3 linked regions of the Mus musculus genome follow. The protein of the gene in region 2 interacts with the protein of the main gene of each other region in a biochemical or structural test. Links are inferred from orthologs where the notes say so. Each region holds a gene or a part of one and is shown on either strand. Other genes may lie near its edges.

Region 1 (5,449 bases), on a different chromosome or scaffold from region 2:
AGGGAGCACCTGGGACAGAGCTATGGTGTCTACCACTCCAATGTAACAGGAAAGTGGATATCATCACCATCATCATCATCACGTTTGTTTGAGACAGGGTTTCTCTGTGTAGCCCTGGCTGTCATGGAACTCACTTTGTAGGCCAGGCTGGCCTCGAACTCAGAGATCTGCCTGCCTCTGCCTCCCAAGTGCTGGGATTAAAGGTGTGCATCACCACTGCTTGGCTATTTTATTATTTATTATTTTTATTATTTATCTATATGCTGTATTTATTTTATTTATGTACTGTGTGGGTAAGTGTGCAGAGGGCTCGCTGAAATCCATTGTCTCCTTCACCTTCATGGCTAGCATGCTCACCTGGTAAGCCACTTCACCAGTCCTAGCTTATTTATCAGGTTATCTTCACTTTTCTTCCCCCCCCCCCACAGGTACTTAAAACTTTTATTTGTAACAAATTCCCGATTTCTTCTGCTCAAAAGTTCTTTGAGACAATTCTATCAGCCTTAGCCAATCAGAGAATAGAATCATCTGACTCGCCCATCCTGCAAATGACCCCCCGCAGATGCCGTAAGTTTTAAACTGGCCATTAAACCGGCCTGTGGTCCTATCAACCTCGGCCACGTTCATCTGGATGGACGCGTGGTCCTTGGCAGCAATGATGAGGTTGCATGCGGAGCATTTCCGAGGCACGGACAGGTCCACAAACTCGCCGGCGTCGTTCTGCATCCTGAGGCCGTCCCTGCTCACTGGTCCAGCGAGAGCGCAGAAAAGCTCACTTTTCTTAATTATGTGTAGAAGGTGTATATATGTGCCTGGTGCCCACAGAGTCCAAAGGAGGGCATCCAGTCCCCTGGAACTGGGCCTATAGGCAATAGTGAGCCACCATATGGGAGTCCAGGTCCCCTATGAGAGCAGCAGACACTCCTAACTGCTAAGCATCTCTCCAACCCTCTATTTTTCTCACTCTGTAGGCCAAGCTGTCCTCAGACTCTTGGTAATCCTCCTTTTTCAACCTCCTAAATGCTGAGACCTAGCTGAACATGGGATTTAGGAACAGAAACCAAAAGACCTGTCTGACGGACATTCTTTTGTACAAAGTGGGGGACGTGACTCCTGCCACACCTTTGCCCCAGCTTGGCTGCAGCGTCTCCAGGAGGTGAACCGTATACGAGGCATTGGCTGTGTTCTACATCCTGAAGCAGCAGACATCAGACCCAGTGTACAAAACAAAGGCTGCTTTTATTGTAGTAAAATGGAGAGGTCTCTGGTAGAGGGGGGAGCAAGGGAGCAAGGGGAGCGGGGTGGGAGTGCAGACAGGTCCTAGTTGGTCCTGCCCTCTCGGTCTTTGGGATGGGTAAGAAGGTGGTCATTATGGCTTCGGATAATGGAATTGATCCAATCTGCAAACTCAGCCACAGGGGCGAAGGCATCTGGGTACAATCCAGATCCACAGCCTCCTCGGATGAAGGAGTCAATGCCTTGGACAAGGTTGTTACAGACCAAGGGTCCGCCAGAGTCCCCCTGTGGAGGCGTCCATGTCAGAGGCTGGATCTCTAGTCATCCCCTACCCATGCTCCAGCACTGGGAAGTCCTCCCTGGGGTCCGACTACTATCCCTGCTGCTGCAGAGGGTACTTACGAAGCAGATGCCTGCCTGCCGACGTGGCACCAGAGTGCATACGTTCACACGACGGCGGCACATGTTAGTCACCACTGTCACATTGAGCTCTTGTAGCACACTGGGTGATGGTCTGTTTGTGCCCAACCTGCCCCAGCCCATGGCCAGACATGGAGTTCTGTCACCCACGCCCTGGCCCTGGGCAGGCAGCTGGGCCACCTGCACGTTGGCGTTAATGGTAGCGGAGCCATTGAGCTACAGTGGAAGACACGGGGGGGGGGGGGGGGGGGAGGCATAGAACACCAAGAAGTCACAGAGCACAGTTTATAAGAACCCTCCCCACTTTCCTTAGTACCTGACCATCAAGTGGTGAAAAAATTTAAGAACTAGAGGAAGACGTGAGTATTTTCCAAGAGTTCCCCAAGCTTCAGGGTCAGTGTGTGGAAAGGCACAAATAAGAGTTTGTTGGTTGAATACTGCTCAGAGCTTTCTGTATATTATCTCATTTAAGCCTTCAACATTCAGCCCACAGAATAGTTAATTCTCCACTGTGCTGAGCTGGAAACAGGCTCAGAGGGTGATGACTGCAGTTGACCCAGTGTGTACCTGTCCTGCAGCCTGTTCTGCAGTGCACTCTCCCTAAGCTGACCTCGGGACCTTTGCACGAGGCTCAGGTTCCTGAACTGGCAGGCCCACCTGGATAATCACAATGTCGTTCAGCAGTTGTGATGGGTCAAAGCCATTCTCGAAGATCCGCTGCACAGAGAAGGTCTGTCGAGTGCGCTCCTGTCGCCGCAGGTCATGGGCTCCCAGCACTACCTGCACTGACCGGAAATTTCTAAGGGCAATGGAGAGGGAAGGAGAATTATTGGGAATGCCCACCTGACCTCTTGACCCCAGTCTGACCCGCATGGACATTGAGGGCTAAGAGGGGAAGGAAGGGGACTCACAGGCCGTTCACACAGTGGGCTGCTGACATGACGAAGTTCCTGGCAATGAGGGTGGCACCACAGAAATGACCTCCACGCCTCTGCAGGGATGCCATGAAGGGCCAAGCATGGGGCCGGGCCGGCCGGCCACCAACAATCTCTGAGGCCAGTGCTGGGCCTGAGAACACACAAAGAAGAGTGAGCCCTGAGCTGCTGGGGCCCTCAGTGAGAACTCACAAGGCTGGCTAGGGAAACTGAGGCAGAGAAAAGACAAGGGACCTAGCCCAGGTTGCCCTTAGACTTGAGACCCAGTGCCTTCACAGTAACCACCCTCAGGCTTAGAACCCCAGTTTCCTTAGAAACCCAGTTTCCTGATCGTGGCTTTGCCATTATAAACCTTCACATCTTTTCCTGGGGTCCTGGCAGATGTGCAAGTAGATGAAAGAGATGGACCAGAGGTCAGAAGGGTGGACATGTGTCTGTTTGCACTCACCACCCAGGAACAATGCCAGTAGCATGGCAGCCAGAGTCCGGCTGGATAGTCTGCCAAGGGCCATGGTGGGCTGTGTTCTCGCGGCTCCCCACATCCCTACCTAACAGCCATACTTATAGCTGGAACCAGAGGCCGTTGTATTGCCCCATCCTGGCCACAGCCCTACTTCCTCCCTGGGACACGACAGTGGGGGTGTCATGGAGAGATGTGTGCCCCTCAGGGTCTCCATGTCAGCATCATCCATGCTGCTGAATACCAATGAAAACTCAGCAGACATCCATCTTCTTTTTTTTTTTTTTTTTGGTTTTTTTCTTTTTGGTTTTTCGAGACAGGGTTTCTCTGTATAGCCCTGGCTGCCCTGAAACTCACTTTGTAGATCAGGCTGGCCTCGAACTCAGAAATCCACCTGCCTCTGCCTCCTTCTTTTCTTTTTTTTAAAAATGGGATCTCAAAAAAAAAAAAAAAAAAAAAAAAAAAGAGCCGGGCTTGGTAGCGCACACCTTTAATCCCAGCACTCGGGAGGCAGAGGCAGGCAGATTTCTGAGTTCGAGGCCAGCCTGGTCTACAAAGTGAGTTCCAGGCCAAGGCTATACAGAGAAACCCTGTCTTGAAAAACAAAAACAAAAAAACAAAAAAAAAACAAAAAACAAAAAAAACTTAGGGCCAGGTAGTGGTGGCATGTACCTTTAAAATCAGTACCAGCGAGGCAGAGGCAGAGGCAGGTGGAGCTCTGTGAGTTTGAGGCCAGCCTGGTCTACAGATCTAGTTCCAGGATAACCAGGGCTAGACAAAGAAACCCTATCTCAAAATTAAATAAGTAAATAAATATATAAACAAACAAACAAAATCTCACGTAGCCCAGGCTAGTCTCAAACCCTTAATCCCCCTGCTTCCACCTCGTGAGTGCTGGGATGATGGTGAGCACCTCCGTGCCCACTTGGTGCCCTAATCTACAACTTATATCTGAAGGCCAATCTCTCTGCCTCAGTTTACCTCAGGTATAGTAATAACAGCAACACATACCTATAAAAGAGTTTCTGTGTGTGTGCATGTGTGTGTGAATATATGTGTGCATGAGTGTGTGTGTAGCCAGACTTGCCTGGAACTCACAGAGATCCACCTGCCTCTGCCTCCTCAGTGCTGGGACTAAGGGTGTGAACATCTATTCCCAGGACAGTGGGTCTTTTTAACCTGGGGTTCAGGACTAGACAGCACATGGCAGCCAGCTCAGCCCCTAATTTATGGCTTGCTCCTCATGACACACGGTCCTGCCTGACCTTATCCAAGCCTGGCACCCATGAGAAGGAAGTGCTGTCCTCAGCAGTTGCCTGAGTGTGGTTGCTGTGTGAGACTGAGTAACTGCTAGATCCTTGGACTTCCATTCACAGCTGCGACTGAACCATTGTTGGGAATTGGGCTGCCGACTGTAAGTCATCAATAAATTCCTTTACTATCTAGAGACTATCCATAAGTTCTGTGACTCTAGAGAACCCTGACTAATACAGAAGTTGGTACCAGGAGTGGTTCTAGAGTAACAGAAGAACAAGGATGAATCTTTTAAAATACTGGAATTGGCTTGTTGATCCACCAGCACAATCTGGAACCACACAAGGGGTGTACTCTTCTCCCATAATAGAAACAGGACCTGGGGCCCAGCCCCCACTCTGTGGTAAGCTCCCCCTCCTGTCTCTCCCAGGAGCCACAGCCAAGGCTGTTGCAAAACCAACGTCCCATCTCCAGGACGGGGCATGGGGCACGGGGCTGGGTGAAATCCAACTGACTTGAGCAGGTGGGCAGGATGCCAGGGCCCAACACCAGCCATGCTGGACTCCTCTATCCTTAGGATCCCAAGAGGAGCAGTGCCCTCCTTACCCAGCAAACTGGGCACTCAGTATCTGCCCTGTCTCCCTGTCTCCCTCGGACACATACTAACTGGTTTCCCTTCCTCCCACACAGTGAGCACCTACTTTATACACCACCCATGTCACATGGAGAGAGAGAGGTACAGGGCAAACAAAGCTACATGTCAGATTAGACTTAACCACAGCTGCACTTACTGAGCACCAGCTGTATACTATGCTCACCCATCCTGTCTGTGTACGGTTAGTGTGCCTTTAGGCTTATATTTCCAGTCCCCTGCTGTGGAACTTTAGGCCCAGAACCCCTCTATAAGTGAAGTTCTTCCTTGACCTCTGCTTAGTGTCCCCAGACCCTCAGAGGCTCTACAAAAAAAATCCCGACACAGCGATAGATGAGACGTGGGAACCCACCCCTCATGGGGTCTGGGGTTCAGTAGCAGCCTGCTTGCCATGTGTGTACCAAGCTTTGGGCTCAGCCTCAGCACTACATAAACCAGGAGCAATGGCACACAAGCCATCCCAGCACTCGGGAGGCGGAGACAGGAGGATCC
Region 2 (5,785 bases):
TTACCTCCCAGTACCAGGCCTCGTTTGCCAGCCAAAGGCAAAGTCCAGACTGACCTGTATCTCAGGTTGCTCCAGCAGGAACCATCGAAGAGGATATGACACCGCGTGCATCATGTCCACCGACACTGTGAACCGCTCATCCAGGTGGAAGAAATCTTTCTGGGTGAGGCTCGGGTCAAACTTGGTCCTCCAGAAACCTGCAGCCAGGCAGAGGGCAGGAGCCATGTAACATAAAATCAGCCTCCTGCCTGTCTTGCCTAGAACCTATTCCAGGAACAAGGATTAGAAGCCACGCTCCCAGAGGCGCTGGCCGGTTGACATCTAGCTGGTCTTAGGCACCTTCCCTACACTTGGATTTGCATTTCTCCATCCCTCTGTAGCCCCGGTTTTCTCTCAAAGCAGCCTGGCCTCTGCAGCTTGAGTTTCCCCTTCATGTGATCAGACAATCCCCAGTTTCATGGCCTAGCAACCTCAGAGCAAAGCTTGCAATGGCAGGGTGGGCGGGGCTGCGGGGGTGAGCGGCTTAAGAAGAACAGTGCACCGTGAAAGTGGATGGCGTTGAGGAGAAGCAGCACGGTGCTATCCGGCAGCTCAGAGAGGAAATCCTCAATCTTCCCCTCTGTGGCCTCCTTCACCCATTGGTTGATGTTCGCCAGGTCTTCCTCCTGCTTTCCAGTCAGTTTCACGGGCTTCGCACCAAAGAGCCTTTCCGATTGCTCCAGGAAATCGTCTTTGATGGGAAATCCTGCACGCAATGAGCCACAAGCTCATCCCAGGGCCTCCACATCCACCAGTGTGCTACCCGAAGCCAAGCCCCTCTCCCTCACCCTTGTGCACTAGAGGCAGGGCTCTTTCTGTGCAGCTTGCTACCACCAGCACCTACCTTTCTGCAGGTATATTCTGGCAGCCAGTCGGATTGTCCCTGGGCCTAGGTTCTGGTAGAAATGGCTCAGTAGATGCGGGAGGCAGGATCCTGTGTTCATGTGCAACACTCGATGCAAGCTGTGTAGTGTTTGGTTCTGAGCACCTGAAGGGGACCAAGCAGGCTGATGCCCAGGCCACGGGTTCTTTCTGGCCCCACTGCCCACTCCCACCCTCTGGCATCCCCATGATGAACATGGCCACAGATCACACTACTCTGCTCCTCTCCCAGATCCACGGAGCCATAGGGTCCCCAGATTCATCTCTGCAGCTAACAAGCTGGGCAGTGTCACCTCCCTCAAGGTTCCTTTCCTCTCTGAGCAGCAGTGTCTCCCACAGTGAGACACTCATGTCCACTGGAAGATATTGTAGCCATTAAATTCCTGTGCTAAAATAACTAGGGGGACTTGTCAATCACTACACTCTTAGCCCCGGACTTCTGACTCATAGAGGGTGGTGACAGCTCAGGGACCTGCATTCTACCAAATAGCCATGTGTCCCTGATGGAGGAACTGCCCCTGGACAACCTCTGCAGCAACTGAACCCTCTGTGGTCTCCTAGTTCTTCTGGACAGGTGTGACCCCAGTACCTAGTGCCAGGTGAGAGAGTGCTAGGGCCACACTAAGGGGTGACAGGACAAGGTTGGAGCTGGTAGATGTTTGGGCCACCAAAGAGAACAGGTCAGTAGTAAAAGCCATCATGGCCTGAGCCAGCCTGCGAGTCTCCTCTGCAGTTGGGACACTCTTGCAGTGTCCTGGGGACCTCTTGAGGGTAGCATGGTCACCAAAATCCTACAAGGACAGATCAGAAGTCAGTGAGGTCAAGGGAACAGCTCTAGGTTCTCTGTGTCCCTCACGGTCCTTTTTTTTTTTTTTTTTTTTTTTAAGATTTATTTATTTATTATATGTAAGTACACTGTAGCTGTCTTCAGACAGCTCCAGAAGAGGGCATCAGATTTCGTTACGGATGGTTGTGAGCCACCATGTGGTTGCTGGGATTTGAACTCAGGACCTTCGGAAGAGCAGTCGGTGCTCTTAACCACTGAGCCATCTCTCCAGCCCCCTCTCAGTCCTGATGCGACAGGGCAGCAAAGGCCTTGTCCCAGATCTGAGGAGAGTCATGCTGAAGTCCTTCCTACCCCACCCCTTCCGAACCCCTGAACATCAGCCCCATAACTACTGACTCCCCCACCCCCATTCCCTTGCTTCCACTGATCCGGTCCTCCTCTTCCCTCTGGCCCCACCCATTCTTCCCCAGCCCCACCTGATTGTACCTGGTTGTCCAACTTGAAGAGGGCAGGCAGGGGCAGCTTCTGCTGGGCCTGCTCACTCACTGGCTGTAGAAATGAGAAAGGAGATGAAGAAAAGGCCCTTCCCATGGGTCCCCATCTTGCCAAGACATAGGTGAGTCCCTTTGGCTCTTCCCCCTAAACCTCTCACTTTTGAGTACCTGCTGGCCCGGGAGATCCACGGCGCTCACCGGAGAGAACTGTTGAGAAAAGGGAGAACAGAGAACTCAGCGTTCCTCCCTCTCCACCCTTCTGGCCTCTCCCAGATTTGCCCCCGCCCCCCAGCATCTCCTTCAGCCTGACTGACCACTTCCCACTCAGACCTCAGCTCTGCCTCACCGTGAAACAGGGACCTTGCAGGCAGGACAAGCTGAGTACGAGGAGCCCCCGGAGCAGTGCCATGTTCCTGTATCCAGAACAGGGAGTGTTAGTTCCTACCTCACGCTCGAAGGCCAAGCAGTAGACTGCTATCCATGGGTTCCTTGACCGCACCAGGCTGCGGAACCTGGACTCAAAACATAGCAGCTGTGGACCTCACTCACTCTGAGAGGTGGGATTTCCATAAGCTTTTTTTTTCACCTGTACATTTAGTCTTCATTCTTTTCGTCTTACACTGTGGATCAGTCCTGGGTTCAAATTTAAAGCCCTCATCTTGCAAGAGGACCTTGCGCATCTCCCTTCATGCCTTTGGCTTTACCCTGTCTTGGTAATTCATGGCAGAAGTTCTTCCTGCTCCCATGTAGATGTTGAGGACCCAAATAAGAATCTCTGTAAATACTGAGCATGATGCCTGGCCCCCACCCTAGCAAAGCCACCTGACCTGTTGTTCATTTCATCCAGCCTTTCTCAGGCTGCCCTGGTCCTACCCAAAGGCTCTGAGAGCTAATCTGGGCTGGCAGGGCAGCCAGAAACTTCTTTGTTGACCAATGAATGACTGGCCCAGACACCTTTGGACTTACGGGAACTACAAGCCTCATCCCACTTCTGCTCCAAGTTCTGATCCAGGGTGCTTCGGGGAAGCCCAGCTGGCGGAAGGGGGGAGGCTCTCAGCCTAGAGAGCCTTCCTTTCCATCCTCAGCCCCCTACCCAGGCCTTATTTCAGGCACCAGCTCTTCTAAAAGGTCCTTCTGTTATCCCTAGACCTCCACAACTGTGTTCAAGAACCTTCAGCCAGGGCCTCATCTCCAATCTGGATATATGATTTTTCTCGCCAAGAGTAGGCCTCCAGGTTTTGGAGTTCTAGAGGTTTCTCCTGGAGCTGCCTGGACCTCTGCTCCTCACCACCCCAGGACGCTGTGAAGCTGCAGGCTCCCTGAATAAATTCATCCAGACCCCTTGCCAAGGTGCCAGCTGTCTACTTCCTCTGCTGCCCAAGCAGCAGGCTGCACCACCCCTCCATCCTACCTCTTCAGGCTTCTTAGCGCAGCACACGCAGCACACGGTGTTCTCCTGGACCAGCTTGCTCCCCACGCTCCCCCAGTGCAGCCAGCAGGGCCTAGCTCTCTCCTCCCACAGGACCTTTGCTCTCAGCCAACCCCCGTTCAGCTTGTGTTCAGTGCTGGTAAATATTGACCTGTACATCCGGTTAAACATTGATATGGGGGCCAGAAGACCCTTTCCCATCAAGGCTACCCAGAACCCTGCCTGAGCCTGGAGAAGGGGTTTACAGGAGCAGATAAGTGAGGAGGTTGGGCCTGGCAAGCCTTCTAATGATCCCTCAACATAGGGGATTATCCACAGTCAGTGAGGCTCAGAGAGGCTGTGTGGCCTGTGTAAGGGCGCAGAGTGGGCTCCAGAGTCACAGCCAAAGTCCCACCACCACCACCACCACCACCACCACCACCACCACCACTACCACCACCACCACCACCACCACCACCACCACCACCACCACCACCACTACCACCACCACCACCACCACCACCACCACCACCACCACCACCACCACCACCACCACAGCTACCCAAGGGAAGGGGAGGCTGCAGGAGCCTGTTCACCTAACTGTAGCAAGTCCAGGATCCTGGTTGGCTCCCTCCAGCCTAGGTTCCAAGGCGAGGGCTGGAGAGACCCAGCTGGAGGCCGGCCCTCCCAGGGTCCCACCTCTTCAGCAGTGTTCCCTTTCCCCAAGGGTGAACCATTCGGAAAACTGACCCAAGGCCACCCAACCCAGAAGCTCTGTATCCAAGGCAGCCAGAGGACAATGGCTGCCTCTACCCTCTTGCTGTGTTTGCAACTACCAGGTTTGGACTTTCCTGACTCTGGTGCCATCAAGGCAAACTGGTGGGCATGACTATCCATGCCTATGTATAATATCAGCACTTGGAAGGTAGAGAGAAGAGGGTAGGTAGGGAATACCAGGTCAACCTCCTCGGCTGCATATCAAGTTTGAGCTACCAGACCTTGTATCAAAAGAAGCTGGGTGTGGGGCTTAGAGATGGCTCAGTGGGTAAGAACACTGGCTGCTCTTGCAAAGGATCCAGGTTCAATCTTCAGCATCGAGATGTGGCTCATAACCATTCATTAACTTCGGTTCCAGGTGATCCCGATGCCCTCTTCTGACCTCCGCAGGGACCAGACACAAGTATGGTGTGCATATGTACAAGTGGGCAAAACAACCATACACGTATAAAAATCAATGCCTTTAAAAAATAAAAATTGGACCTGGTGGGTCATGCCTATAAGCCCACTACTCTGTTTCAAGCAGGAAGGTCATCCCAAGATCAAGGCCAACCTGAGGCACTTGAGACCATCTGAAAAAAAGCCAAGCCAAGCCATAAGCCAGGCACAGTGACATATACAGTGACATATACCAGTTCCCCAGCTCCTTGGGAGGCTGAGGCAGAGCTGCCTGAGCCCAGCCTAGGCAAAGCAAAACACAACACAGCCTCACTCAGCTCCGTGGCTCTTCCAAAGAATTTATTGACCTTATTTACATAGACTGCAACTAGTGAGAAGGCAGCAGGGGCCACATCTCAGGCTTCTCCAAACGAACACTCAAGAGATGGCAGAGTCTGCCCATCCCCTGGGCAGAACCCGAGATACAGAGATGATTCCCGCTGCCTCCTGTCCCTAGGGATGCTGGTCCCAAGGGCTGCCTCCCCGGCTGAAGGCACAAACGCTGTGGTTAGGGGTACCAAGGCAAGGCATGGATTCATTCCTGGACCAGCTGGGCCCATATAACCCCTTCCCTAGCCCTGTTCTCACATCCCCTTTTTTCTGGTCCCATACTGAAGACCTGGCTGAATGAATGCTAAAACCCCAGACCAAGCCCTGAAAGTCGTAGGTCCTGGCCAGCCCTCCTGAGCCTGGAGTCCCAGTACCATCAGAACCCTAGACAGGAGCAGTTTCCTACCCAAGGGAGAAACAGAGCTAAGGAGAGCGTGGCTAGAGGAAGCTGGCTGAGCAAAGGCCCAACTCCTTTCATTTCCTGGAGCTGCCCTGTCCCCATGTGAATCCAGAAGGCAGAACTGGGGAGCAATGGGGATCACAGTGCTTTCCTTGCCCCAATTCTTGCTGGTTAGGAACAGTATCTCCCGAGTTTCATGAAGCCACTTCAAGGCTTTGGAGATTCAGGAG
Region 3 (5,690 bases), on a different chromosome or scaffold from region 2:
GTGAAGCCCCTTGTGTGCTTATGTAGCCATCCAGCGAGTCCCCTTGTCCTGCAACAAAAGTGGAAAACTGAGCAAGTCAGATAAGGACATCGCTCATTATCATGTGGTGCATGCGCGCGCGCGCGCATGTGTGTGTGTGTGTGTGTGTGTGTGTGTGTGTGTGTGTATGTGTGTGTGTGTGTGTGTATAAGCACATGCATGTGCATATTTCATGGCTTTTTAATTTATTTGCTTTTTACCAATCAAAGAACACTAGCTGTTATTGTGTGGCTGAATGCTTTATGGTAGGGGAAAAAGAAGGACTCCTTACTCAGATAAGCAGTCCCAGTAGTTTGCAATAGATTGAAAGTACAGCCAGACTGGCAGATTAGTAACTGAGGCCCATGCAGCCACCTCTCTATTACCATATAAGAGCAAAACTTTAGAGTAAATTACTCTGCTCGTATTGCTTGCCCTGTGATAAGGCAGTGAGGCCCCAGAGCAGCGACTTGATTTTCTTTTTTCATTTTATTTTTAAATTTATTTACATTTCAAGTATTACCCCCTTATCTGGTTTCCCCTCCTCCCAGAAACCCCTATCCCACTTCTTCCCTCCCCCCTTGCCCCCCCCCCGCTTCTATGAGAATGTTCCTCTACCCACCCACCACTCCTGCCTCCCCACCCTCAATTCCCCTACACTGGGGCATCTATCTAGCCGGCATAGGACCAAGGACCTCTCCACCCGTTGATGCCTGACAATGCTGTCCTCTGCTGCATATGCAGCTGGAGCCATGTGTATGCCTTGGTTGGTGGCTTAGTCCCTGGGAGCTCTGGGGGTCTGGTTGGTTGATGTTATTCATTTGATCTTCCAGGAGAGAACACGGCATGGGATACTGTTGATTGACTGTCAATGATATATGCTTTTCAATGACATATGACTTTTTTCTTGATGATGAAAGCATCTGGCATTTCAGAGAAAGTTATTAAAAAGTAGAGCCTGGAAGCTGGGCGTGGTGGCGAACACCTTTAATTCCAGCACTCGGGAGGCAGAGGCAGGCGGATTTCTGAACTCAAGGCCAGCCTGGTCTACAAAGTGAGTTCCAGGGCAACCAGGGCTATACAGAGAAACCCTGTCTCGAAAACAAAAAAAAAAACAAAAAAACAAAAAAAAAAAAACCAAAACAGTAGTGCCTGGTACAAATACTGGCTTCACTGTTGTTGTTGGTTGTTGTTGTTGTTGTTGTTGTTGTTGTTGTTGTTGTTGTTGTTGTTGTTGAGACAACATCTTTCTACCTGGTCTGGCACTCAAGCAATCTTCCTTCTTCAGCCTCCCTAGTGCAGAATTACATATGTGTGCTACCATGATTTGATTTTTGTGTGAGATGCAATCTGAGACAGAGTTGCTTGCTTTCCCTCTTGTCCCCATAGAATGTGGTCCCAGCTGCCAGGTGTCCCCTGGGCTAAGGTGCTAAAATGCTGGCTTAAGCTTGACAACTCTGTTCCAAGCCTGAACCCCTGCTACTACTCTTTTGTGTAAATAGTCATGATTTCCATAGCGGTGAGAGGACAAAGAGGTTAATGAACATAGAAAAGTCTTCATGGAATTAGGCAACATGGCAACCTTGACCTCTAGAGGGAAATCGAAGCCAGATCCAGCAAGTTAACAAGTGACCAGGATCGGAAGCAGGAACACTTGAGAAGGTAAACACAGACTCATCTTTGAAAGCCTACCCTCTCCCTCTCTGGTGACTCCATCCCTCCTCAATGCTCCAAACTGGAAAGCTGGGTAGAGAGTGTGGAGTTGGCTAATGCCCTTACACTGTCAGAGCGCTTGCTGTGGGCATAAGAGATTATGGAGAAATGGAACATTTTAGACTTCTGTTCCATTCCAATTCAAACGCCCACCTTGAGAAGACCCAAGCTTTGGGGAGCTGCGGAGCTGCGTGTGATTTGGAAGGCATACAGTCATCCTGCACAGCGTGTCTAGGCAGAGTTGGGCTAACCTGTGCTAAGAGTTCTCGGGGAGTGTGCCAAGGAAGGTCTCGGATGACGATGGAGAGGAGAGAGCCCTCCTGTTTGGACCATCAGCTTTGTGTCATGTTTATTGGTGGACAGCCGCTGAGATCCACCCAAGGAGCTGCCACTCCAAAGACATGTCCCCAAGAGGAACCGAATCTTTTCTTTTGTATTTGAATTTTTTCTCCAAATCTTTATCTCTTCTGTTTACCTCCAGGGCTCTTGTAGAAAATAAAGTTTAATATAGTATATTGATAAGGAGACTTGAAACAAATCTTTTAGTAGGAAAATTATTTCTTTGTAACAGACTAAATATAGATGGGTATTACCATCAAAGCAAAGAGGCTTTTTTCATTACTATGGTGTGTGTGTGTGTGTGTGTGTGTGTGTGTGTGTGTGTGTGTACTTGAGTGTGCAAAATTAAATCTCTGCTGAGCTTGATGGATGACACTTTTTATCCTAGCACTTGGGAAGCAGAAGTGGGCTTCTGAGAGTTAAAGGCTAGCCTGGTCTACATAGCAAGTTTCAGTCTGGTCAGGACTATATAATATGACTTTATCTCAAAAAAAAATCAATAGTTTGTTCACAGTTGTGGAAGAAGCGTTTTTATCCTCTCCCAGGCTATTTCTGTGCAATAGGAAATGAAAGTCAAGCCATTTCTGTAGATAATGACAAGTACTTTGACAAAGACCTTATGAAGGAATGCCCCTCAATTGGCAGAGATACATGTTGATCCTACTGCAGAGAATCTGGTTCGGAGTGACCCCTAAGCTTATAGTGTCCCCAGTGCTAGTTTCTACACACACACACACACACACACACACACACACACACACACACACACAATGTGTGTAGGAACCCTGACCTCTAAATAGGTATTTGTTTAATTACTGCAAATACATGACACTTTAAAATGGACCTATGTGACTCACGGAAGCATCAGAGGCAGATGTGTACCCATGCAAAGCCTTCCTTCAGCCAAACAGAAGATCCCAATGGAAACAGGATGGCTCAACAAAAGTTTCTAATCAGTCACACTGAAAACAAGGCAAAGAGGTAGACCATCTAAGCCCACTAACTACCACCACCAGGAACTGAACCCAGAACCTCAAATATGCTAGCCAAGTGCTCTACCACTGAGCCACATTGCCCTTTAGTCAGACCCCTCCAAAATCCCCCTTCAATTAGGTTTACAAAGCCACTGGTGGCTTGCTCTGCCTGTCCATCCCTACCCAAGCAGTATTCACAGGGAAACTGAATTTATATGTCGAACTCCTCAGTCTGACACTTTAAGCTGAAAGTCCCATAAGCCAATAGCTCATTTAAATGAATTGCCCAAAAAGACACAGCGAATCTATTTTTAATGGATGGCTAGAATTTTTAAAAAGCGGAACGAAACCTGTGCATCAAAATCTTACCTGGTTTCAGAAGCAAGAGAAACAGAAGGATTACTTCCTTATGGTCCATGTTGGGACTGGCCAACAGCACCTGGACAACTGTGTCCTAGTTCCTGGTGTTGACTTAAAGGGGAACAGAGGCATCCACAAGCAAGGTAGTCCAAATAGGTTAATTATTCTCTGGGGCCCCCACCACTGTATGCAGAAAGAGCAAACATTACCTCGAACAGGGAGCTTACAAAATGTTTGAGCAGAGCCTGTGGTAGATGCTGGAAGTGATGGCAGTGGCCTTCCCCATTGGACCCCTACACCCTGTTACACCTCTCCGTCCTCCCTCTTCCCTCTTACTTCCTCCCTCCTCCCTCCTCCCAAGCCACCATGTTGCCAGTCTCCTCTCATTTCTTTCTCTCTTCTTCCTTTGCTGAGTGCCTCCCATATGCCAGATTCTGCCAAGTGGTCCATACTCAGCCTCGTTTGACCTTACTGGCAATCGGCTGTACCCTGTTCCCATTTTCAGAAGAGGGGCCTGGGGTAACACATGATGTCTCAGTGTGTGTATTGCGTAAGCTGTATGAGCTTGTTTTTCATCCGTTATGTTGCGAGTAGCGGTTGGTTTTGGTTTGGTTTGGCTTTGGTGACCCCTCAGCTCTCTCCCAGCCCTGATGTTGACTAAGCAGTTTGACTAAGTCATATCATTTTTACAACACCGTCATATTCACGCCGCTTTCAAACTTAAGCAGTACATAACTTCTGTCCTGGTGTGTTTTAGCCCTTGACCCACCTGTATAGTGAGACTCGGCATTGCCGGGCAAGGGCCAAACCATGGAGAAGCACCACTAGCCTACTGTGCAGTGTTGAAATCCGTTTGTGAGTTGGAAAAAGAACTCAGTGGTAAGTGAAGCACTTACTGCTGCTCCAGAATTCAAGTTCCAGCACCCACATCAGACAGCTCACAGTCACTCATAACACCAGCTCCAGGAGATCTAATGTCCTCTTCTGGCCTTTGAGGACACACACACACACATGTGTGTGTGTATGTATGTACGTATGTGTATATATAAGTATATACATATGTATGTGTATATATAGATATATACATATGTATGTGTATGTAGGTATATATGTGTGTATACTTGTACATATACACATATAGGTATGTGTATGTGTATATATATGAATGTATATCTGCATTATATATATGTATGCATATGCATATATATGTATTTATGCATATATGTATATGTGTGTATATGTATTCATAATATATGTGTGTGTATATATACATATATATGTGTGTGTGTGTATATATATATATATATATATACCTTCCGCTTCCCAGTCCTTTCTTAATATCCCCTCCAGTGTGGATCTCTCCTCCATAAGAACTCGCAGTATCATGGTAATACCCTCAAAAGTGGAGGGATTCAGCTGAAAGACTATCTTTTTGTTTATTTGTTCTTGTTGCTTTGACATAGTCTCCTACTGTAGCCTGGGCTAGCCTGGAACTCACAGTGATCCTCCTGTCTCTGCTGTCTGAGTGCTAAGACTACATACAGGTGCATGTCTCTCTCTACCAATCATCTCAACTTTAATGGTAGAGTCTGAACTTTTTCTTGGCTGGAGGCTCAAATGCTTTAAAGCCTCCCATTTTATATTTGAAAATATTTAGAAATGGACTCCTCTCTGTTGGTGTGGGATAAAGACAAAGCAGCCGCTGTTCTTCCCTGGCTACAAACTCCTTCCCATGACAACTAGTTACAGGATCAGGTGCCAGGATGTCTCAGGTAGAAGCTTGTATAGAATCCCATGAGAATAAAGCCCATGCAGGAAAACCAGGAAGACAAGCAAGGAGAGGGAGGGGAGAGGTAGGCAGCATGTCACGGTGCTAGGCATCGCTCCTCCTTGAGGAAGCCAGGAGGTCTGTGAGACTCAGGAAGCTGACAAATGTATGGGGCTCAGTCAACTTCGAGCTGCACCAGGCCCTCCCTCTGTTCTACAGGAGCAGAGAACTAGCATGGGAGATTCTCCTCGGTAGAGCCTCGGTAGAGCCGCCTGCACCTGGGGTGAGAGTGTCAGGGGAGTTCCTGTGAGGAGGCAACCTTTGGTAGTTGGTTCTCCCAGCTAGATTCAGTTGGAATTAGTTTCCTTGGCCTGTGATGTGTGCCCTGTGGGAATGAATTGACAACGGTCATGTCTCTCCAGGAGTGCCCCACACAGCAGACAGATGGGGGCACCTGAGTGTGAGCACACCCTGATATTTTGTCAGCCAGCCTTCTCCTCTCCTCATACCCACCACTG

What was found. The genes of interacting proteins can lie anywhere in the genome.
Region 1: of the proteins of Serpinf2 (region 2) and Elane, one has a biochemical effect on the other in vitro, tested with the Homo sapiens proteins (2 studies listed by BioGRID). The link is inferred for Mus musculus from reciprocal best matches to the Homo sapiens genes SERPINF2 and ELANE.
Region 3: the proteins of Serpinf2 (region 2) and Plg form a complex in vitro, tested with the Homo sapiens proteins (2 studies listed by BioGRID, with this or other methods). The link is inferred for Mus musculus from reciprocal best matches to the Homo sapiens genes SERPINF2 and PLG.

The regions. Positions count from the first base shown.
Region 1 is NC_000076.6:79,883,989-79,889,437, reverse strand, and holds Elane (neutrophil elastase precursor), read right to left. Parts: upstream 3,127-5,449; 5' UTR 3,104-3,126; coding exon 3,040-3,103; intron 2,725-3,039; coding exon 2,568-2,724; intron 2,456-2,567; coding exon 2,314-2,455; intron 1,873-2,313; coding exon 1,639-1,872; intron 1,522-1,638; coding exon 1,321-1,521; 3' UTR 1,222-1,320; downstream 1-1,221. UniProt on the Homo sapiens protein: Serine protease that modifies the functions of natural killer cells, monocytes and granulocytes. Inhibits C5a-dependent neutrophil enzyme release and chemotaxis. Promotes cleavage of GSDMB, thereby inhibiting pyroptosis. Promotes blood coagulation.
Region 2 is NC_000077.6:75,435,844-75,441,628, forward strand, and holds the start of Serpinf2 (alpha-2-antiplasmin precursor), read right to left. Parts: upstream 3,659-5,785; 5' UTR 3,614-3,658; intron 3,548-3,613; exon of another isoform or gene 3,350-3,547; intron 2,616-3,349; 5' UTR 2,612-2,615; coding exon 2,549-2,611; intron 2,410-2,548; coding exon 2,371-2,409; intron 2,325-2,370; exon of another isoform or gene 2,258-2,324; coding exon 2,195-2,257; intron 1,713-2,194; coding exon 1,511-1,712; intron 1,028-1,510; coding exon 884-1,027; intron 746-883; coding exon 542-745; intron 198-541; coding exon 55-197; intron 1-54.
Region 3 is NC_000083.6:12,376,440-12,382,129, reverse strand, and holds the start of Plg (plasminogen precursor), read right to left. Parts: upstream 3,522-5,690; 5' UTR 3,463-3,521; coding exon 3,414-3,462; intron 49-3,413; coding exon 1-48. UniProt on the Homo sapiens protein: Plasmin dissolves the fibrin of blood clots and acts as a proteolytic factor in a variety of other processes including embryonic development, tissue remodeling, tumor invasion, and inflammation. In ovulation, weakens the walls of the Graafian follicle.